Linked DNA regions of Diceros bicornis minor. The protein of the gene in region 2 interacts with the protein of the main gene of each other region in a biochemical or structural test. Links are inferred from orthologs where the notes say so. Each region holds a gene or a part of one and is shown on either strand. Other genes may lie near its edges. The genes, in order: S100A6 and CACYBP.

What was found.
Region 1: the proteins of CACYBP (region 2) and S100A6 are reported together in a solved structure, tested with the Homo sapiens proteins (2 studies listed by BioGRID and IntAct, with this or other methods). The link is inferred for Diceros bicornis minor from reciprocal best matches to the Homo sapiens genes CACYBP and S100A6.

The regions. Positions count from the first base shown.
Region 1 is NC_080743.1:57,774,906-57,785,342, reverse strand, and holds S100A6 (protein S100-A6), read left to right. Parts: upstream 1-6,882; 5' UTR 6,883-6,974; intron 6,975-7,601; 5' UTR 7,602-7,622; coding exon 7,623-7,760; intron 7,761-8,118; coding exon 8,119-8,253; 3' UTR 8,254-8,353; downstream 8,354-10,437. Other genes in the region: S100A5 (protein S100-A5), read left to right, coding at 3,665-3,802, 5,562-5,705. UniProt on the Homo sapiens protein: May function as calcium sensor and modulator, contributing to cellular calcium signaling.
Region 2 is NC_080743.1:91,510,604-91,522,584, forward strand, and holds the start of CACYBP (calcyclin-binding protein), read right to left. Parts: upstream 6,038-11,981; 5' UTR 5,892-6,037; coding exon 5,871-5,891; intron 5,026-5,870; exon of another isoform or gene 4,977-5,025; intron 1,542-4,976; coding exon 1,322-1,541; intron 1-1,321. UniProt on the Homo sapiens protein: May be involved in calcium-dependent ubiquitination and subsequent proteasomal degradation of target proteins. Probably serves as a molecular bridge in ubiquitin E3 complexes. Participates in the ubiquitin-mediated degradation of beta-catenin (CTNNB1).

The DNA.
Region 1 (10,437 bases), about 34 Mb from region 2:
CATGTGTGTGTTTGTGTGTGATAGAGTTGACTCTGATGGGGCCGAAGGCAGGGAGAAAGGGACCCCCAGAGGCTTGGAATGCCCCGGATGTGAGATCTTAGCAAGCCCACTCCCCACTCCCCACTCTCCGACTTTGCCTCTGGCGAGACCTATAACTGAAGCTGGAATGCAATTGAAGGTCACATCTACTCCTCGTTGGGGTCTGGAATGGAGTCTAGGCACCCTGGGGGAGAGACGGGGAGGGGGGGGGATGGGGGTGGGGTGGGGTGGGGTGGGGAGGGGGGGGATGCAGGGGGCGCGGGGGCGCGGGGAGGGCTGAGTCATAGGGAGGGAGTAGTGACGCCAGAGTGGAATGGGGAGGAGGGCTCAGTACTGAAATTTACAGCCCGGGCCCTGTCCTGTCACCACTTTCCAGAGCCCTGGCTTCAAACCCCAGGGACGGATGAATCCTTCCTGTCCAGGGAGGCTGCGTGCAGGGAGACCAGGCCATTGGCAGCAGCATGAAAATATTGTCCTTATCTAACCCCCATCTCTGCCCTGAAGGTCCTGGGATGAGATCTGTTGTCAGTTCAGAATAGTGCTCCTACAAAGACGGACAAAGGACCTCAGAAGAGGAGGACGGTGGCTGGAGTGGGAGTGAGGGAGACCGTGAGAGATGACCATAATTTTGGAGACAGAATTCCAGACATATGAACTGATAAATGAAATTCAGACTTTTTCCCCCCCAGAAAATACCAGATATGATGTTGCTTTCCCTTAAACGCCAGTGGCTCCAGCGTGCAGTGGGTGGGATTGAGGTTAGACTTCCAGGCCATGCCTGGGTGATATGGGGACCTTTAAGAAGGAGGTGAGTAGAGGGCAGGTCCAGAGGCAGGGAGGGTTTTGTCCCCCTGAACTTTCAAGCATTCCCCTTTTCTTTTCATCACATTGTGTTTTTCTCTAGTTTCAGAGGAGTGGGGTGGGTGACTCAGATGTTCCTCCAGAGTGTGACTGCAGAGACTTGGGTAGAATTTTGGTCCAGGAAAAAGTTTGCCTCCCCGCCCCCCAGCGCCCTACTCTGCCCATCTTCCATGGGAGTGCCCTCCCCTGAGCCTCCTCCTGCATCACTCTCTACTTTGGAAACTCCTGTTGCTTAGTGACCAGTCCCTGCTGCCTCTCTAGCCTTGCCAACTGCTGGTGGGAGTGGAATGGAGGCTAGGGGGAGGACCCAGGCAGGCAAGGCAGGGTTGCAGCAGTGATAGATGCTAAGCCTCTAACTTGCTTCAGCTCTCATACGTGGACTGGTTGGTGGTAGAACAAAGTCTGAGTCTCTCCTGGGATACAGGCAACTCTCCCTGACCCTACCCCATTCATCACTGCACCCTGGACCTGCTCCCTGCAATCCACAACCTCTACCCCATCACCAGCCCTACCCTTCCCTGGATCCCCTCTCCAATCCCTAATTCTCACTCCTCTATTTCAAGAGTCTCTGACAATTGTCTCCCATGAAGATGAGTGAGATTTAGAAAAAATTGCTCATTTAAAAGCCCTTTAAAACCCTTAGGCTCCGGGGTCGGCCCCGTGGCTTAGTGGTTAAGTGCATGTGCTCCGCTACTGGCGACCAGGGTTTGGATCCCGGCTCTGCACCAACACACCGCTTGTCCTGCCATGCTGAGGCAGCGTCCCACATACGGCAACTAGAAGAATGTGCAACTATGACATACAACTATCTACTGGGGCTTTGGGGAGAAAAAAGGAAAAAAAGGAGGAGGATTGGCAATAGATGTTAGCTCAGGGCCGGTCTTCCTCAGCAAAAAGAGGAGGATTGGCATTTATGTTAGCTCAGGGCTGATCTTCCTCAAAAAAAAAAACAAAAACCTTAGGCTCCATTCTAGCTAATGACCCTGACCACGCCCTTGGCAGGAAACGTCTTCCCCCATTGATTCTCATCTCGAGGTGTGTGTGCTCCGCTCCTGCTGTGAGTGGGAGGGCTCCAGTGTGGAGAGCGGCCCAGGGCATGGGGAGCTACCCTGCATTTGGCCCACACTTCCTGGGTCTTCTTCCAGGACAGCCTACAGTCTCCTTCTCTAGCCTGCGCTCTCCTCCTCACTCATACTGTGAGCTCTGATTTTTGGTTGGGAAGACAAAGTTTCTGGGACCGAAGACGTGTGTGCCATGGTGAACTCAGTGTGCCCCCATCCTTGCATTTGGAAACAAGGAAGGTGAGATTGGTGGAGGGGGTTTCTCCCCAGCTGCATCCCAAGAGGCTCTGACTTGGGCCTCCTCAAGTCCCTGGCCCCTTCTCATTGGCCCTTTCCCTGCCCTGGTTTCCTGGGGACAGGAGCAATGGAACAAAGACAGAGAGCAGTGGGAGGGAGCCTGTTTCCGCTGCGTGGTTCTCCGGCTTACTCTTTCCTTGGTGAGTCCGTCCTTCTGATCTCCCTGCTCATCTATACGGTGGGGCAAGCTGGGTGATGAGACCAGAGGGTGACAAGATGTGGTGACCTCCACCAAGGAAGGCCTAGTCTGATGAACAGGCATGTGCTCAGGGAGGAGAGGGCAAGTATTTGGAATTGTGGCTATCAAAATTTCCTGAGAAGTGGATCTGGGGGTGGAGGTGGGCATCAGAACCAGCCAGGATGCTCCTGCAGCTACCTAGAGGTGCTTGCCTTCAACTGTGGTCCTGGCTGAGCCTCCTGGAGATGGGGAGAAGCCGAGGTTTGTGGGTGGTGGGAGATGAATGACAAGTCCAGTTCGAGAATTGTGAGGTGGGCTTTTGGCTGAAGGGAAGAGCCAGCAGCTTCTTCCTCCTTGCCCAAGACTCTACAGAGATTTACCTGCAGCCCCCAAGTCCCCTGGGTGTTGCCTCTTTCCTTCCTAAGGGGGAAGTGGTTTTCAAGTCTGAGTCACAGGAGCTCCAGCTGCTTCTTCCCTTCCGTGGGTGCAGCTGTGCTGATGGCCTGGAGGGCTCCATTCAAACCCAACCTCTAGATCCAGCTCTCAGAATGATCCTGGAGATTTCAACAGGCCCACCCTACTTGCTGCCTTGTGGCCAGTCTGAATGTGCAGTTCTCTGGGCTGGAGACTGAAGACCAGCTGGACAAGTCCAATCACTTCTCCCCAGTTTCCTGTCGAGACCCTATCTCCCAGTTCTAGCCCCAGCCCCCTCCCACCCCTGGACTCTCCCTGTGCCCTGTCCCCTACTTCTATAATGGGACACTTCCCAATATCAGATGATTCAGGCACCCGGGCCAAGGAGGGTGACTATGGTGAGGACTGTCTCTGGAAAACGAATGCCCAAGCTGGATGGGGCAGGGAGAAATCCTTACCCTTTATCTGCTCCACATCCGCCACCAGTTCTTCTTTTGGGGAGGTCATCCTATCATCCCTCTGCCCCTAGACCCCTTTTTCAATGTCTCCTAAGCAGGAGAGTGTGCAGTCTCCTGCGGGGCTGGTCAGTCTCACTGCTCTGGCTGTTCCAAGTTTGCCTTGAGTCTCATTCCAACCCATGCTGACACATTTGAGTCCACTCGTTGGTGGATTTTGGTCTTGTTATGGGTTCCAGTCTCTGGTCCTTGAGGGAAGGGCTTGGAGGTGGGCTAGTGATGGGGGGAGGAGAAGGTCTGTCTTTGCTGGGCCATGCGATTGTTTCCTTTCACTTCACCCTTCAGAGCCACATACCGTGATGGAGACTCCTCTTGAGAAGGCCCTGACCACTATGGTAACCACTTTCCACAAATATTCTGGGAGAGAGGGCAGCAAACTGACACTTAGTAGGAAGGAACTAAAGGAGCTGATCAAGAAGGAGCTGTGTCTTGGTGAGGTAGGTGACTGTCCCCCCCTTCCAAAGTCCAAGTGCTCCCTGTGGGTACCATGGAGGGTAGAACACCATGGACAGGGGCTCCCTAGTGTGAGGTGGGAGGCCCAGCTCTGCCTCCATAGACATCCAGCGTGAGGTGACACACACCTGCCCTCAATGTGCCATAATCTCAGCCAGGAGCAGGTTGGCCAAAAGGTACAGAGACCGAAGGAAGAGGGTGAGCATCTTGGGCCAACAGAGCTCTAGACCTCTGTGCTGGGGGTGAGTCAGGTTTCACTGCAAGGAGGAAGGGTGGCGTCTGGAGGGTGGACTACAGGCTGGGTGAGAGTTTAGAGAAGGAGATCAAGGAAGCTTCTATGTTGAGGCTAGGCCTGTGCAGCCATGGCGGAACCTGTGTGAGGGATCGTGGGGGATGAGGGGACCCAGGTGGTCCAGGTCAAGCTGTGCACAGCTCAAGGGCAGGGCCCCCACCTGATTCCCCTCCGTGTGCCTAGCACATCCAGGGCTCTCAGCTGGTGCTGACACAGAACAAAAAGGATCGTTCTGCTAGTTCGTGAGCACAAGGTTGGAAGGAGACCGAATTGATTCTTACCAGATGGAGATGGTGGGAGGGAGGTGACCGACAGAGGGGAAGGCCTATGAAGTAGTCATGATATTACTTTTACAATTAAAAAACAATCGAGGCTTAGATACATTATATAACTTGTCCAAAGATACCAGCTACTGCCAGGCTGAGCTGGAATCCCAGGCCAGGCCTGCGTTCACCTTCCCTTTTTCCTTTAAAATTCAGCATGGGGGGGACCTCTTCTGTCATATCCTGAACTCTGGTGGGCCTCCCCACAGAGAAGCTCCCTTGAGTTGCCCCTGTGGGCAGGGGAGAAGCAGGCGTGGGTGTCACCAGGCTTGCCCTCTGGCCTTCCTGCCAGGCTCTCTTCATCCTGGAGTTAATGAGGGCAGAAGGAGGAGCCATGGGCTGGCAGGGGTTAATTACAGGGGAACAGAGGCCCCGGGGACGGCCTGGCTATAATAGGAGCCCAGACTGGGGACAAAGATCACGTCACAGAGAGGCTGTTTCCATCTCTGTATGTCCCAATGTCCTGTCTCCTGTGGAAAAGCTGGAGCTGAGGGCCCTGAAGAGGGGAGGGCAGGACGTGTCTGTATTTTCTTCCTGTTCCACCAGAAGGCCCTGTCCCCATCCTCCTGGTGGAGCTGGGCTGGGAGGGCAGGGGACCAGATGGCGAGTAAGACTGGGTGCCAGGCACTCCTTTCCATTCCCCTGTCCTGTGAGCTCTCCTAGTGAGGGAGGACACAGTGGCTTCTCAGCTCCAGGACACTGCTCTCCTAGAGAGACATGTTGTCTGGGTCAGTTCTCAACTCTCCCCTACAGGGACAGAAGGAGTCGGAGATGTGGGTCATGCTTAGTGCCACATAACCACCAACCCGTGGCTGTTAGGTGTTGTATAAAATCTAGATTATTATTTCTTTGGATGGTGCAAAGTGTTGAGAGGAAGGGAGGCTGGACTAGCCTTCCTGTTGTAATTTATTTACATTCAGAATCAGGTCGCTGAGCCTGTGCTTGGTGCCAGGCTCTGTGCTGGGCATGGGCTGAGGGCAGACTCAGGGGGTCGAGATGCTCAGAGTGTTGCTGATTCAGCTGGGGACCACCCTGAGACTGCCTTCCCAGGGGACGGGTGGCACCATGCGGTGGTGGGGCAGGGCCAGGAGGGGTGGCTGACCTGTCCCTCTACCTGGGGCCTCGAAGAAGATGAAGGAGAGCAGCATTGATGACCTGATGAAGAGCCTGGACAAAAACAGTGACCAGGAAATCGACTTCAAGGAGTATTCAGTGTTCCTGACCACACTGTGCATGGCCTATAATGACTTCTTCCTGGAGGACAACGAATGACCGGGCTCAGCTCCTTGCCCCAGCCTCTGCGGCTCCTCTCACAGACCCTCTGTGGCCCCTTGCCCTCCTCTCCCTCCCAGATGGAACCTGCTTCAGCCTTCCCTTCCAGCAGAGGAAATAAAGATTTTCCATTCCAGGTGTCTGGAGGCTGGTTTTGAAGACGTCTTGTCCACCTTGACTGAGAGGTAGGGTGGGGCAAGGCAGAGCTTCTCCTTGAGTGGGTTGAGAGCCTCTGGGTGTTAGGGTCCTGGGCTTTCACTCCACTTCATGTCCTTCAGTGTGGACATCACTAAGCTTACCTAGGCTTAGTTTTGCCATTCTGGAAAACGGGGAGATTGGGCCAAGCTTTTGCTTGCCTCCCAGGAATGTTGCAAAGATGCAGAGAAAGCTAAGGGGGAAAGTGCTTTGAGAGAGAGGACACTGAGGGCAGTGTGGACAAGCCAGTCTGACTTGTCACCGGCTTACAGAAGGTCACATGCACCACTGGTATGAAGGGGAAGTCTGGCGTTTGGTTACAGGCCAGTCTCCCTTCCGTCTCCTCCACCCCGCCCCAACCCACCCCAGTCATCTCTGGGGTCCAGTGATTTTTGCTCTCCCCACCTCTCCCTATCAGAATCCTTTCTCAGGAGAGGACCTGAAAAACCTTTTCATTAGAGGGTAAATAATGAATGATGCTAACAGGGCTTGGCTCAGGTGTGTGTGCACATTAGTGGGCAAGAGGCTCCGGGTGGAATTCCAGGCAGGGGGGGAAGGGAGAGGGGGTGGTGGTAGGAATTTATTTTTGCTGGGCGATGGGTGTCCTAGATGTCCTTTAAATCATATCCTGTAGACCACTGGCTGCTCCCCTCCTTCATCTAGGGTTGACCCTGAACACCCTCTGGGGGCACCCTTCTCCATTCCCACCCCCCCAATAACCCCCCTTCTCCCCAGCCGCTCTAGCCGTCTACCTTCTCCCCACGCCGTGTCACGTGTCACGATGGTGGGCAAACCGAGCTATGGAGATTAAGGGGAGCTCCAGGTCACTGGGCTTGCAGTGGTCTCCGCTAGGGCCCCCCACCCCCTGGAATGTGGAACAGCCCCCGCGGCAGGAGGCGTGGAAAGTTGAGAGGGGCCGGGGGTGTGTGTGTTGTGTAAATCACGGGCGCGGGGTGGGGCGCGGGGCGGGCCCTGGGCGGGTTGGGTGGACGCACGGCCGCTATAAGGCGGCCGGGCCGGCTACAGAGTTCGTCACCGCGGACCGCTCCCTTCACGCTTCCTTGCAGCCCCGCGGTGAGTTCTCGCCGGCGCAGCGCCGGCGTCCTCGGCCTAGTCTGGCCTAAGTCTAGCCGCCCGCCGCCCCAGTCGGGCCGTTGCGGACTCCGCGGGCGGGACCGGCGCCCGGATCCCGAGTGCGGCCGTCTGTGGAGCTCCTGGGCCGGCGGGGAGGGTCAGAAGCGGCGGGCTGGCCCCGGGCTAGGCATGCGGTGGGGCGGCTCCCCGCGCTCTTCTGGGGTGCGGGAGGGTGTGTCCTGGGACTGTCAGCGCCGCAGTGTGGCCTTGTGAGGCTGTGTGTGTAGGGCTGGGTGTGCTGCCCCTACCTCCCCGCCCCCCATGCTGCCTATGCTCCCCAACTTCTTCTGGAACCCCTGGGGTTCTCAGCTGTGGCCCTGTTTGCTCTTTAGAATCCTTATCTCCTCTGGCCCCCCCTCGAGCTGCTGATCTCGAACCTAGAGTCTGTCCTCTCCCTCCCCTTCAAGCCCTGGGCTATCTCCTGAGGCCACCTGTATGTGCCTGAGGCTGGGTGGTTCAGGCAGGGTACTCAAAGGGAGTGGGGGGAGTGGGGGACAGAACTCTTGGGGGTTGGGTGAGTGAGAAGGCCCTGCTGCCCAGGGCACTGACGAGCCCCTCTGCCCCCAGCTCTGAGTCCAGCCCTCAGCCATGGCGTGCCCCCTGGATCAGGCCATTAGCCTCCTCGTCGCCATCTTCCACAAGTACTCCAGCAGGGATGGTGACAAGAACACCCTGAGCAAGAGTGAGCTGAAGGAGCTGATCCAGAAGGAGCTCACCATTGGCCCTGTGAGTGAGCCTCCCCAAGCCCTTCTTCCCTCCTCTGGCCCTGCAGAAGCAGGATTAGGAGAGGGGGACGTGCCAGGGGCATCTGACTCACATTTATCTAACTTCTGGGGCCCTTCTCCACATGCCTCACTGAGCCCATTGGTCCACTCCCTTGAGGGGGTGGGGGATACTCTCAGCCTGGTATTCACTCCCCCTGAGCAAGGAGCAGGAGCAGAGGGGAAGTGAAGCCAAGTGAACCCAAGGTGGGCAAGTGAGCACAGGGCCACTTGTCTGAGAGAGGGCTGCCTGGGAGGGGGAAGGGAGAGGACCCAGGGTTCTCATCACCACTCAGTCTGGATTTCCCATTCTAACGCATTAGGAGCTGCAGGACGCGGAAGTTGCAAAGCTGTTGGACGACCTGGACCAGAACAAGGACCAGGTGGTGAACTTCCAGGAATATGTCACCTTCCTGGGGGCTTTGGCGATGATATACAATGAAGTCCTTAAGGGCTGAAAATAAATTGGGAAGGTGGAGACACACTCTCGAGGGCCTGTCTGAGTCAAATCCAGTGGTTGTTAATTGTACAATAAATATTTTCTTTTGGTCAAATCTACGCCTGTGTCCTGGCTTCCCGGTGATTTCTGTTTTCTCCTTCTTGCACTAGCACCACCCTGCACCAGGGTTTGTTCACAGTCACCTCTGGGAGTGACTCAGCGACTCACCAGGCCGGGGTGGGGGGTGCGGGGGGGTGGGGTGTGTGGTGCGGGGTGGGGAGCCGTGGGGAGTGTGTTGAGAAGCTAGAGCTGGTGTATTGATTTAAGAATATGCAGATTATGATCTGCTGACTGAGGAGGCACAAGCCACCCACAAGGGAGCAGCAGGTAGCTCCCTCAGCATCCTAAGTCTCACTTTGGGGAGGTGAAACCCACAGGGGTCGTTTTGATTGAAGGCACAGTTTCAATACATCTACACAAAGGAAGTGGAGTCTACTACTACTTACAGATGCCAGAAGCGAGGGGGTGCCATGAGCCGGGGGAAGGGCAGTCCTCTGTCCCAGGTCACAAGCCAGCCTGAGATAGAGAGCAGGGTAGCAAGCACCTATTACGTATAACGTGAATAATGGGGCAGAGGTCACTAACTTTTTGAGGGCTTCACTCTAAGTGGTTATTTTAAAAGGTGCTCTGGGGGCTGGGCCGGTGGTGTAGTGGTTAAGTTCGCGCGCTCTGCTTCAGCGGCCCGGGTCCACAGGTTTGGATCCTGGGCCCAGATTTACACATTGCTCATCAAGCCATGCTGTGGTGGCATCTCTTATACAAAATAGAGGAAGATGGGCACAGATGTTAGCTCAGGGCCAATCTTCCTCACCAAAAAAAAAAAAAAAGGTGCTCTGGGAAAAGTAAAGCAAGAACTTACGGCAGGAATCCTAAGCTCAAGTCCTTATCTAAAAGATGTGAGCAGGGTTATCCTACTGTGAAATGCTGAGGCAGCATCTCTGGAAAACAAAGTTGTTTTTCTCCTCACAGAGGGTCCACACGATGGTGGACTCACCCTGACAAGGCCTCTGCTGGCTCATAAGGTGCCTTAGAAAAGATGGCCCCTCCGGACAAAGTCGTCTTAAGGGAAGGCTCGAGTGGTCCCCGGTAGAGAGGGTTCTGGGATGGACTTGGAGAAGAAAATCGTGCCTGAGCCAGGCTGTGATGGGTCCAGAGTGGGGCGGAGATAGTCCTAGGGGGGTTCCTGAAGATGAAGACATGTTTTAACTTTGGGTGTGATGGGAGGGGAAGGATGGAAGGGCCATGGGGCGAGGCTGGTCCACTTTCTCATCACAGTGAAGTGTGGGCAGAGAGGGCACAGCCGGCATGCCCAAAGCCTGGGGGGGAGCATTCTGTCTGAGACCACCGAGGATGCTGTGTGGCTGGTTCACTGTGCTGCCTGGGCCCCAGTCGAAGGCAGGAGGCACGCTTTAGGAGTCTGTCCCTGCATTCAGGGACAGGGTCCTTTGCGTTGAGGGATGTGGTCTGAAGAGCTGGCAGCTGCACGAACACATGAATCATGGGGTGCTCATGAATGGGGCCGGGTGGGGGTCTCTGGGGCTGGGCCCACCACAGCTTCAAGCCTTTCAGTCAATATTGAACCAGCCCATCCCTGCATCCTTAGCAGAATGAATCACCCCAGTTATCCCATTAGAGCCAAGACTGGCTCTCAGTCCCCATTCGGGAAGATGACTAATTGTCTGAATTATTGTCTGAGTCCATTGTTTGCATTAATGTTTTCAGACAGGGAGGGTGGGCGGCAAGGGGGTAAACTGTGTCTCAGGGTGATGGGGCATCTGTCCCAGTTCTCTCCCCTCCAGGCCTAGTCTGAGCCAGGCAGGTTCTTCTGTAGGGACCTCAGAGGGAGATCATATCCTCTTTCCCCTCTTACTCACCTCCTCTCTTCCCTGAGGGCCCAACTGTGCGGAATTAAGTCATCTTCTTCCTCCATGGGGTGGGGATGACTGAACAGTCCCCAGGGGGCTGGAAGCATCACCTTTGGAGTTCCTCCTTCTCTAGTTGCCTCCCCTGCCCCACAGGGCATAGGAACTGGCACTGTCGTGAAGCAGGAAGGGACCCAGGGCCTAAGCTCCCGGCCTGCACAGCCATGTCCAAGCCTTGGCTCCATTCAACTCCTGCGGGAAATGTACCTTCCCGGCCTGCA
Region 2 (11,981 bases):
ATATAATCTACCCAAAATCAGGCATCTAACTAATGGTAGAACTTAGATCCAAATCCAAGTTTACTGAACACAAAGCCTGTGTTCTTTTTATTCCTTAGAATAATGTATGATCGTTAAATACATTCTTTAAGAGTAGCTCATTTCCCCTTTTTATGGAAATAATTTTGTCCAATACGTAAATATTGGTAATTCTCCACTAAGCTGGATGGCTAAACATCAGTACTGTCCAATTCCATAATCATTTCTACTTCTCTAAGCAGTTCAACACACACAATCCTAGCTTCCTCAACTCCCTTCCCTGGCAAGGGAGAAAATAAATTTAGAGAGTCCAGTTCATCCAAAGCTGTCAATCTGACTAAGCTACCATAATCCTACCACCTTCAGACCAGTTTCCTACAGTCAACTAAGTACACAGCGTATCTCCTATAGTACCTCTCTTCGGCACGACACACATTGCCCTCCACTATGACAATACTCAAAATACATGATGCCTTTCATGTCTATTTGTGTCCTTTGCTCATGTCATTCCCTTTCCTTTCTCACCCTTGCTGAACTCACCCTTCAAACTCAAACACCTTTTCTAATTCAGACTGTTCCTCACCTCCAGCAGAATTATTTCATCAGCTGTATTCCCATAAAACTTTATTCAGTTCAGTTACACGAACAGTTATAAGTACTTACTAAGTGCTAGATATTGTGAGCACAAAGAACAAGACTGCCCCTGCCCTCACGAGAGCTCATCACTCACTCAGATTCAAGTCGCACTGCTTCCAGAACAAAAAAGTTTACCATCTGTTGAGGGGAAATGGTATTATTACATTGTTATGGTATTAGCTCTGGCTGGGTCCCAACCACATCATAAGCAGGGACTGGGTCTTGGTCACTGCTGTGTATCCATGAGTCCAAGCACAAGAGTGGCACACACTAGATGCTCAAAAATGTTTCTTGAATTTAACTGGATTCCTCTCCTCAGTTAATATTGGTGGTGGTTTGGCAAAGTGAAATGCAAAACAGGGTGAAAACAGAACAAAAAGCTGTGTTCCATATATACTGAATGTATTTCAGAATAGGTTCCTTCTTGTTGCTACTCATCATTGTACTAAATCATCTTGCTCTTTTGTTAAAAGCTTCTAGAATGCATCCTTTCCTTTTTCATCTCTTAAAAAGTATCTTATTAAATAAGAATTGATGGGGCCTCTTTCAAACCACCAAAACACACACTCAAAACTATTTTAAAAATTAAGTTTATTAGTGGGTCACTACTGAGGAATTATGTTGCCTGCAGGCAGAAAGAATTGGATTTTAGGGGAGCAAGTCATACCGTAATTACTGATTTTCACGGTATAGCCCGTTGTAATGGGAGCAACCACAGCAGCTGGCTTTTCATTGTCAAGAAGTTCTGCTTTCCTCGGTGATTTCTGCTGCATCTTGTTTTTGATTTCTGTCTCAATCTTGGATTTTTCAGCTGTAAGGGCATCACGTACCCTTTTTCTAGTGGCTTTTTCCAGTAGCACCTTCACCTCTTCTAGATCTTTCTGTAGCTGTATTAAAATAAAAGATAAGTTAGCTATGATAAAGAAGGTAATAGTTTGATATTGTACCTACTGCTTATTTCAATTTACTGAAATAAGAGCTAAGAATTAAGAGGTTCATTTAAATTTTCTAGAGTTGGGTTATACCTTGGATTCTTTCCTCCAGCCTACTGAATTGTAAATAACTCAAGCTTCCTTTTTTTTCTTTTTTCTTTTTTTTTTCTTGTGAGGAGGATCAGCCCTCGAGCTAACATCCGTGCTAATCCTCCTCTTTTTTTTGCTGAGGAAGACCGGCTCTGAGCTAACATCTATTGCCAATCCTCCTTTTTTTTTTCCCCCACAAAGCCCCAGTAGATAGTTGTAGGTCATAGCTGCACATCCTTCTAGTTGCTGTATGTGGGACGCGGCCTCAGCATGGCCGGAGAAGCAGTGCGTCGGTGCACGCCCGGGATCCAAACCCAGGCCGCCAGCAGCGGAGCGTGAGCACTTAACCGCTAAGCCACGGGGCCGGCCCCTCCTTTTTTTTTTTTCTTAAAGGAAAACTTAATCTTGAAGTAACAGTACGTAATCAAACCTAAATTTTCCAGTTTAGTAGACTGTTATCTGCCTTTGTTTTAGAACATTTTATTTACAAGATACTTTTGTGATTTATAAACTAGAATAAAGAAATCTTAAAAAAAACAAAAAAGAGTTCATGAATTTCCTTGTAACATCAAGTCCTAGTCATCAGGTATTGGGAGTTTTTAAAATATTAAAATAAAAAAGATGCGTGACTACATGACGAGTGTGGGGAAATGCCACGGCAACTCGCCTGAGGTAACCCTCCACCTGCTGTCAGTGACTGGTCCTCACTGATCTTCCTACCCAGAGATTACACACAAAAAGTTCGAATTTTTTAAGACAAGATGAAAAAAATAAAGACATATTCCTGCTTTCAAAAAATCTTGTTTTTGAAGGTTCAGGTTCATCTTCCAGTCAGAAGTCCGGGACGTGGTTGCACAATGGAGGGAAAAACCTGGGCAAACACTCCGATATGCGATACCCTCCTGGATCACTGAAAACGCACCTGCCCTTTTCTTCTCATACCAATACATGGCCTCCCAAAATTTGTTTCTATTTTCTAGCAATAGAGCCAACATTTTATGAAGTTCAAGAGTTAGAGAGACTGTGAGAAAATTAATGGTCTTAAAAATGTTTTCCCAGTTATCCTGTCATACTGCAAAATGCATAAGATCTTTATAAACAAGGTATTCCTTTTTCTTAAAATAACTTTACATTCTGGCTTGATACTAGCAATCTGACAGGAAGACTCTTACATCACAGCCTGAGATCACACGAAAGGCTCAATATAAAAATCTTCAAATGCTTGATAACTCAGTATAATATCCTAAACACTGAGTTTGAAAGTCTTTGTTTCTTTTTTTTTTGTTTTTAACAATTTATTTATTTATTTATTTTCCCCCCAAAGCCCCAGTAGATAGTTGTATGTCATAGCTGCACATCCTTCTAGTTGCTGTATGTGGGACGCGGCCTCAGCATGGCTGGAGAAGCGGTGCCTCAGTGCACGCCCGGGATCCGAACCCGGGCCGCCAGCAGTGGATCTCGAGCACTTAACCGCTAAGCCACGGGGCCGGGCCTTTGTTTCTTAATAGTCTTATAAAATGCAGTAACAGAAAAACGAATGCTTTTCTTTTACCCAAGCCTTATATTATCTCATTTAACTGAGATGCCCTGTTTCACCTGTCTGCAACTGATAACATAGTACAGAATCCAACTGGGCCCAGTCTACTGTCCATACTCTACGCCCTCCCCCAAAATCATATTACTAAGACGAAAATAATTACAAACTCATCTTTTGAGCATAGAACCAAGATGCTTTAGTTCAAAGCAATCTTTTTTATTATAATGGTTTTAAAAAATTCACATTGATTCTAATACCAACATGATAAAAGTAATGAAATGTAAAATGAGTATACCTGTTCCTAGAGTTAAAAAAAGAAAAGAAAGGAAAATGTATCAAGTCTAAACAAGGCGTTTTACTTCTTGACTAGAACAGGAATCCTTTCTGTTGGAGATTCAGAAAAGAACTCAGAATGAAGCACGAGATTCCCAGGCCCCCTTTCTGGCCAGTTTTGGCTCTGAAGTAGTACACCAGCGAGGTCTTACAGCAGGCCTGGTTCAGGTAACTCCTCTGTTCTGTTACTGGCAGACCTGAAACCAGTAAGAGCGATCCCTCTGGTGCTTTTCCTGCACACACACTTTAAGAGCTCTTAGCTACAGCAGTTTCTCATCTAACTGATCTTGGCATTCATCTGTTTTCCTTATGCAAACTGCATTTCCCTTTCCACAAACATTCAAGCTTTATCGTCTAATCTATTTACAAATTCTTCACTAGAAGGCATTAAAACCAAAGTGCTCTGAAATGGGCAAAGGTCTTAGACATTTCTCCAAAGATACATACAATGGCCAGCAAGCACATGAAAAGATACTCAACATTAGTAGTCATTAAGGAAATGTACATCAAAACCACAGTGAGCTACCACTTCACACTCACCAGGATGGCTAACGTCAACAACAAAATACAAAATCCCAGAAAATAATAAGTGTTGACAAGCATGTGCAGAAATTGGAACCTTCATACATTGCTTGTAGAAATGTAAAATGGTGCAGCCATCTGGAAAAGAGTTTATCAGTTTCTGAGAGTTAGTTATCATATGCCCCTGCAATTCGACTCCTAGGTATAAACCTTAGAGAACTGAAAACATAACATTCACGTAAAAAGTCCTACACAAGTATTCCTGGCAGCATTGTTCATAATAACCAAAAAGTGGAAAGAATCCAAATGCCCATCAATGATGAATGGATAAACAAAATGTGCTAAATCCATACGATGGAATATTATTCAGCCATAAAAAGGAATACATGCCACACCATGGATGAACTTGAAAACATTATGCTAAGTGAAAGAAGGCAAAAAGCAAAGGCCACATATTCTAAGACTCCATATATACGAAGTGCCCAGAATAGGCAAACCCATAGAGACAGAATGTAGATTAGTGCTTGCTGGGGCGGGGGGAAGGGAAATGGGGAGTGACTGCTTAATGGACACTTAGGTTTCTTTTGGGGGTAATGAAATATTCTGTAGTTAGTGATGGTTGTGCAACACTATGAATATACTAAAAAGCACTAAATTGTACACTTTAAAATGGTTACAGTGAATTTTATCTAAAACACTCCCCCCCCAAGTGTCCCTAACTGTATATTTTTAAGTACCTCAATTGAGAAAGTCCCTTACTTGGAAGAAGATTAACACTGAGCTCCCCATAGGTATGACTGTCAAGTCACTTCAGAGATTCTTCCTCGGGGCCCATGGTAACCCAAGTCCTGTCTCTATCACAACAAACTCGTGGAAGTTATTCAGAATAATACTAAACACATACACACCTTTTCTTCATTTTAGGCAGCTTCTTAGATTTATTTGAGATTTCTCAGGCTTGTTCATATTGAGGAAAAAATTTCCAGAAAACAAATCCAGTTAATACACACCCAACACTTCACTGTGAATAAGTGTTAGGTATTGACAGGCTACTCAGGCCAGGAAGAGCGACGCAAGAATCATTATTCCCATTTTGTACCCGCGCAAACTACGTCTGCAAACAAGTTAAGCTGCCCCTGTTCAGAGTTCATCGAGCTTAAAAGAGAAAAAGACTATTTCCTACCGCTAGTTACAACTTTCCAATGTATTTACTTTTAAAAACGCATATAGCAGACTGCTCTGCGCCCAGCACTGTTTTCAACATTTACAACAAGCACTCCGTCCTTCTCACCCTCGGAAACGGATACTCCTGCGGCACGGCGCAGCACCGTCACCTGCCCAAAGTCACAGAGCTGGTCGTCCGTGTAGAGAAGACACGAGGAGAATCCAAGTGCTGGGACCCAAGACTGCTCACCTTCCCAGGGCTTCCCAGCACGCAACGACACCCAGGTTTGGCCATCAGCTTTAATTTAACGAGGCCCTCCGTCCTCGGGCCCGTATAACGGGAGCGGAAGGGCCCGAGGAAAACGCGACGGTGACCGGCGCGCTCCAGGCCACCAGCGGCACCGCCGGCGCCGAGGCTCACGACACACCCCCGTTCCCCACCCTCCGGAGGGCCCGCTGAGCGCGGGCCGGGGCCGAGCGGCGATTTTCCCGGGAAGCGGAGGCCCGCGGGGCCGGGCGGCACCACGCGCCGCTGCAGGTGCGCGAGCGAAGCGCGGGGACCCCCGGGGCAGCTCAGCACGGGCGGGGGCGCTGAGAGCCGCAGCAGGGCCGGGAGGAAGGCGAGGCCGGCCCCTTACCTCCTCCGGAGCTGAAGCCATGGCCGGGCTGGGTCACGCGAGGCCGGGGCTGCAGACGCACCAGGGAGAGCAGGAAACGCCGCCCCGAGCGCGCTCCGCCGAGCGCAGACCGCGGGCACGAGTCGCAGGGCTCGCAGCCTGTGCGCACACCCGACCCTGCGCGAGACCGCGGCCCGCCTCCCGCACGCGGCGCCTCTGGAACCTTCGCGAGCCCGTCGCCGCGCTTCCCCGCCCCCCGAGCGCCGCCCGCTGAGCTCAGCCCCGCCCAGCCGAGCCTGGCCCGCTCCGCCCGCCGAACCTCGTAGCAACGCTCAACTCTCGCGAGCAAACTGACAGTTCGAGAAGAGTAACGCCTCTTCCTCTCCGCCCCGGGAACTGAACGTTTAATACTTTGACCCCGTTTGCCCCGGCTGCGCAGTCGCAGCTCGGAACCACTGCCTTCCGTACCTTAACCCCACCCCGGAAGTAACGTACCGATCTTCGGGGTCCAAATCGGAAGTTGCCTAGAGAGGCGGCTGCTTCCGTCCCCTCTAGGACACCGGGCCAACGAGGCAGGCATTTTTGTCTGGGGGTAGTCTGTGAGCCTTTGCGAGGAAAGGACGAAATAAGGGGGAGCATGGGCAGCCTATTTATTTTAAAACGGGAACGAACGAGGACGTTAAGTGTGGGGGCTCCTTTGGTTTTTCAGTGGGTTCTGGCGCTCTGGAGACATCACCACGATTTAGCATCTGCGACGTGGCGGCGTCATCAAGGGCTGCGCTGGGAGGTGGGGTTGAGTTCGCTACGTGACCGGACCCCATGTCGCAGCCGAGGGTTAAGGTTTCCCGTACGAGGCGCCTCGCCCTCCGACGGTTATTGTGCTTCCGCCTTTCCCTCGTGACTGTCGAAGCCCCTCCCTGGTGCCTTCGCCCTCTTGACCAACTGTTCTGCGAGTCTCTGGTTCTCACCCGGGTTTGGATTCGTTTTAAGTGAGCCTGTTAGCATCAGAGAAAATGTGGGTTGAGTTTTCCCGGGCCTGCATTCTGCCCCCCTTCTGGTTCCAGCAGCCCCGCTTAGTAAGGCCCCTGAGAAACCCACTTTTCGGACCATTTTAGCCTTTTGCAGCCTCATGATTTCTGCAACATGGTTGAGAACATAAACAGTAATCTCTGAGAAGTCAGATAGCCTGCACTCAGCTTTATGTGTCACGCAAGATAGCGAGTAGGATCAGCAAGTCAGAGAAGGAAAAAGGCTACTAGGAAAATGCAGACTGACCGTTATCGTAGTAAAGAGGAATCAGAAGTACAGTACGAAAATAGTCAAATTACAGCCACACACAACGTGCCTGAATCTCACAAACATGACGTTCAAGGAAAGAAGCCAGACATAGAAAAGTACATATCGTTTGGTTCCATTTAAATGAAGTCTAAAAACAGTAAAACTAGCCTAGAGTGTTAAAAATCAGGATAGTCCTTCCTGGGGTGGGGAGGACCATGATAGAAAGGAGCCGCGAGGGAGCTTTTGAGGTTCAGATAATGTTCTGTTTCTTGAGTTGGATGCTGGTTACAGGTGTGTTCACTTTGTAGAAATTTCATTGTGCTGTAAACTTACATTTGTGTAGTTCCTTTTGTATGTTATGCTTAACTACAAGTTATTTAAGTAGGCCCAGGAGGGAATTTTCCCGAGATGATAGAAATGTTACACACACATACAGTTGTCAAAATTCATAGAATGAACTCCTAAGATCTGTGCTTTTATTGTATATTATATGTCAGTTTTTTAAAAAATGTCCACCGGAAAGCTTGGAATTATTTAGGTACTTAATAGGAACAAATATCCCATTGCACTGTGTGAAAGCTTGACCTAATGCAGTGATTTTGAAATTTGCTTGATTATGCACCTGGGGCAACTCCTCCCCCCACATATCCTAAAGTCATGAGATATGAAATACTGTTTATTATCCAGTGACTCCTGAATCTATATCTTCAGCTCCACTATGCTTCTGAGCTCCAGACTTGGCTTCTGCTTGGATGTAGAATGAGGAAATTCAGCTTGTCTAAAAAACAAAAAAAACTCCTCCTCCCAATTTTTCATCCTCGCACCCCAAATCAGTTCCTCCAATTCTTCTCCAGCTCTGTGCCTAGTCAGCTCGTGCTCGTTAACTGCTCATGCCAAGGAGTCATAAGTCTCAGTCTCAGGTCCTACCTCCCATCGTATAGCAAGTCTTGCTGGCTTTACCTTCAAAATATGTCTAGAAATCAAACCACTTCTCACAAGCTCCCCTGCTACCACCCAAGACCAAGCCAAACGTTGTATTCGCCTCATTAGTTAACGAGGGAACCAATAAGATGTTAAAACTGTTATCAAAGTGCCTTTGCAAAGCTGGGTACTTACAGACAATTTAACAATGGAATGTTAGTGTAAGGTTGTGAAGTTAGATACAAACTGGTTAATGTCCTACAGGGTAATAAACTACATATGACCTCTGGAGTTACCTCTTCCACTGGAAAGTAGAAATCTGCATCCCTCCTGTACCAACATCTGGAGGTTACCATGTAACTTCACTAAGTGTAGGACCTTGAATCAATAGTGAGCAGTGAGTTCCACTTCCTGTTCATGTCAAGACCACTCATGACCTCATAACTGCCAAATTCAGTAGATATTTTCTGAATAATTTGACTCCTTTACTTTTTACATAAAATTTCTCCTTTAGAATATCACATGGGCCAAAACAAGCTGTCTGTGGTCAGGGTTTGGGCCACCAACTGTAATTTTAGAATATCTGATTAATATTTTTTAAATATATGCTGAATTCTAAGAGGAGCTGACTAATCTCTTAGCTCTTACTTAGGTTTCATTCACTCTCAGAAAATGGAAATTAGAACAAAATGTGAATCAGGATTCTCTGTGCCCTGCCTCCGGCTCCATGAAGCCTCTGGAGTGCTGTCTGATTCTATGCTGTCACTGTGCTGTACCCTGAAAGACTAGCAGCAGACACCTAATGCAGGATTAGCCAATCAGATTTGTGCAAGGTTTTGGAATTGGGCCCCTGAGATGCTAGTCCATCTCTGCTGATCACTTTTAGAGAGGATACGTAAACTTGGAAGTTGTACACTCAGAAGCAGGGAAAACTTGTTTTGAGAGAGAGAAGCAGCAGCAGATAAGCATCACCTGGCCAGACAAGCAGACGAGCAATTAAGAGAAGAGTTGCTTGGGCTCCTGATGGCATTCCAGTCCCCTGTCCAGTGCCTCTTCAGGAACAAGTGTTTGGTCGTTAGTATCTGTGAGATAAATATCCCTATTTCCTTTTAATTAATTGCCTTATTATTATTAAGCTAGCTTGAGAGAGTTTCTGTTACTTGCAACCAGGGAATCTCTGTCGAGAGGCAACTAGTGCACTTTCCAGTGCTGATGTACAGGGTATCATTTTGCAGGGAATAGCCTGGAGCAAACACCTGTCTATTTTTTTCTTTCCAAGTTGACTAGAGTCTAGTATCAGATAAGAAGTGTTACATAAACACTGGGCTCAGATGATTCAGAATAAAATCAACTAGAAAAAAATCAGAGAGACATATATGGACTTCAGAACAAATGTTTATTACTGCTTAATGGGGCCTTTCAAAAGGGCAACACAAAGCACTGAAAACATCACTGGCTCACAAAAACAGCCACCTTGTTACCTTCTTGGTTGTATTTGTTTATTTCACAAGGCTTCATTCACACATGAAAACAAGATACTAATTCAATTCAAGTTCATACCAATTATAAAAGTAAACATTTGTTGGGACAATGTACAATAAATTGCACTTTTCTTAACAAGCATTACATTTACATTTACAGAGTGTACTATACATAATACATGGAATTATGAAAACATCTAATTGGTCAATGTTTATAGAGGAGAGATGCTGCTGTTTCTTTTGTAGTCAATTAGCGAAGTTTGGGCTAATCAACTCCTTTATTCTAGAACCTGTTTTCATTAGAGAGGCTGTGGACAAAATCATAGAATTCATAAAAATAGGTGGCACAGAATTTCTACTACCTCCTCAGGCAGGGAAAGGTAGGAGTTGAAGAAAAGGAAGTGGGGCTGACTGAGAAACTTTTTCCCTCATTTGAACTAAGGATCCATACATTATGCAAAATACCAAAAATAGAGAAACTGATACAAAAGGCTATTGGGACATCTTGGATTCTGGGACCATCTCCAGCTTTATTCTTGTGCTTTCATGACACCAGAGTCTTGATGCATTTATATCCTTATAATTCAGTTTCCTATAGTTTATTCCATATATAATATATAGTTATTAAAAGTTACATTTTAATGGAAAAGATTTTACATGTTAACTTATTGCCAATGCAAAAGGAAAGTAACCTAAAATGTCCTAAAATGTTCTACTCAATGATTCTTTTTTCTTAGATTAAAGTTTTCAAAGTACCACTAATGCTGAACCAGGGATGGAGGTGGGAGAATGGGACATGTTGATGAAGATGTTTTTATAGCGGGTAGCAAACTCATTTGGAGATAACCTTGACAGGTAGTCTTTTAGACGGAAGCTGAGAAGGCACCACCTAACAGCTGACTGTAGTCACTAAGCTACTCGTAAACATCCACTTTTCTCATTACAACTCAAGATCGTCATCTCCTATTGAGGTGCAGCCCACACTTAAAGGATTCATTTGGGTAACTTTTGAAAGATAAGGAAATTCCTAAGGTAAAGGGCTTTGCATCTATTGTATGGAAGCCACTGTGAGAGAGGAAGGATGTTTTGGAGCAGTTCTAATTCAATGTGATCATAAGCATGGCAACTAGAGGAAAGAGAGTTTTATATCTGGTAGTTGGAAACAGGCCACCATGCTGTTGTCTGGCCTTCTGCATATGATCGCTGTGTGTGTATTCAGTTGCATGGTACCTGGGTATACAAAAGAGGCAAGGATCCTCTGTATAAAAGTCTATCAATCACACACACACACACACACACACACACACACACACACCCAATAGTGTTCAAATCAAACAACAGAGTTTTTCCATTCTCTCTTTTACTTGAAATTGAAGCAAAAAAATCAGGGCTATTTTATAGTGTGTTTTTTTTTAAGACTAAGTTATACAATAGAGTCATCTTGCTAAGTAATTCAAAGTGTTCTTTCCCAAAGAGAGAAAACAAACAAGATATTTAATTTTTTTAAAAAGTTCCTTTCCCTTAAAGGGGTCCTGAAATCAGACAAAAACTTTAGCAGAAGAGTAGACTGATTTCAGCTAAAGAAAAAGAAAACTCAATCCCTTACATTAGTTACATATGTGATTCTCATCCTCAGTAACTAATCAACTCCTTTAAGAATCTGACTCATCTCTTGTGCCCTAAACTGTGTATTCTCTTGTTTTTCTCACTTTTGCTAGGAAATGAAGCCACTAGTTAACTGGAAAATATTTTAGGAAAATGGAGTAGGGGTTTGAGAAAAACAAATATTAATACATAGTATAAAAGAATGAAAAATTTGAAAAAAAAAGATACAAGATAAATGCTATTAAACTTCCCAACATCAGTGCAAAGATTGGTTTTCTACTTTACTATGGAAATTTAAGAAAGCCATGAAAATTACTAACTTAATAGCTGGGAGAGGCGAAGAAAGAGATTGGTTGTACGGAAAGATAGGCCATAGGCCTATGTGACATTCCTGTTAGTGTTTCTGATAGGCATTCATACACAGAACATTAGGTAACTGAGAATTCTTTGCATTAAATGATATGTAACTAAATATAACCAAATTGTCATGGCTCAGGATGTGGGAAGCTAGCAAACATATGCACTGCAAAATTCAGCCTGGTTTCTTTCAGCTTTAAAGAACGTGTTAAACAAGATTCTCAAGATATAAAAGCTAATGAACTGAATTATCAAATTGAATTTCATTCCCTTAATTTATTCTGCAGAATTTAATGAAAAGAGAAATCATCCCTTTTCAGAATGTTGCAAATGTTGGATTTTTGGAGGAATGTTTTATACAACATATCCTAGGAAAAGATGGAAAACACTGTAGAATATTTGAAAATTTCCTGGATATTTGGGCTTGTTGATCTCTTTCTAAAATAAATCAAGAGAAAAAGCAGTTCTCAAATACATTTCGCAATAAGTG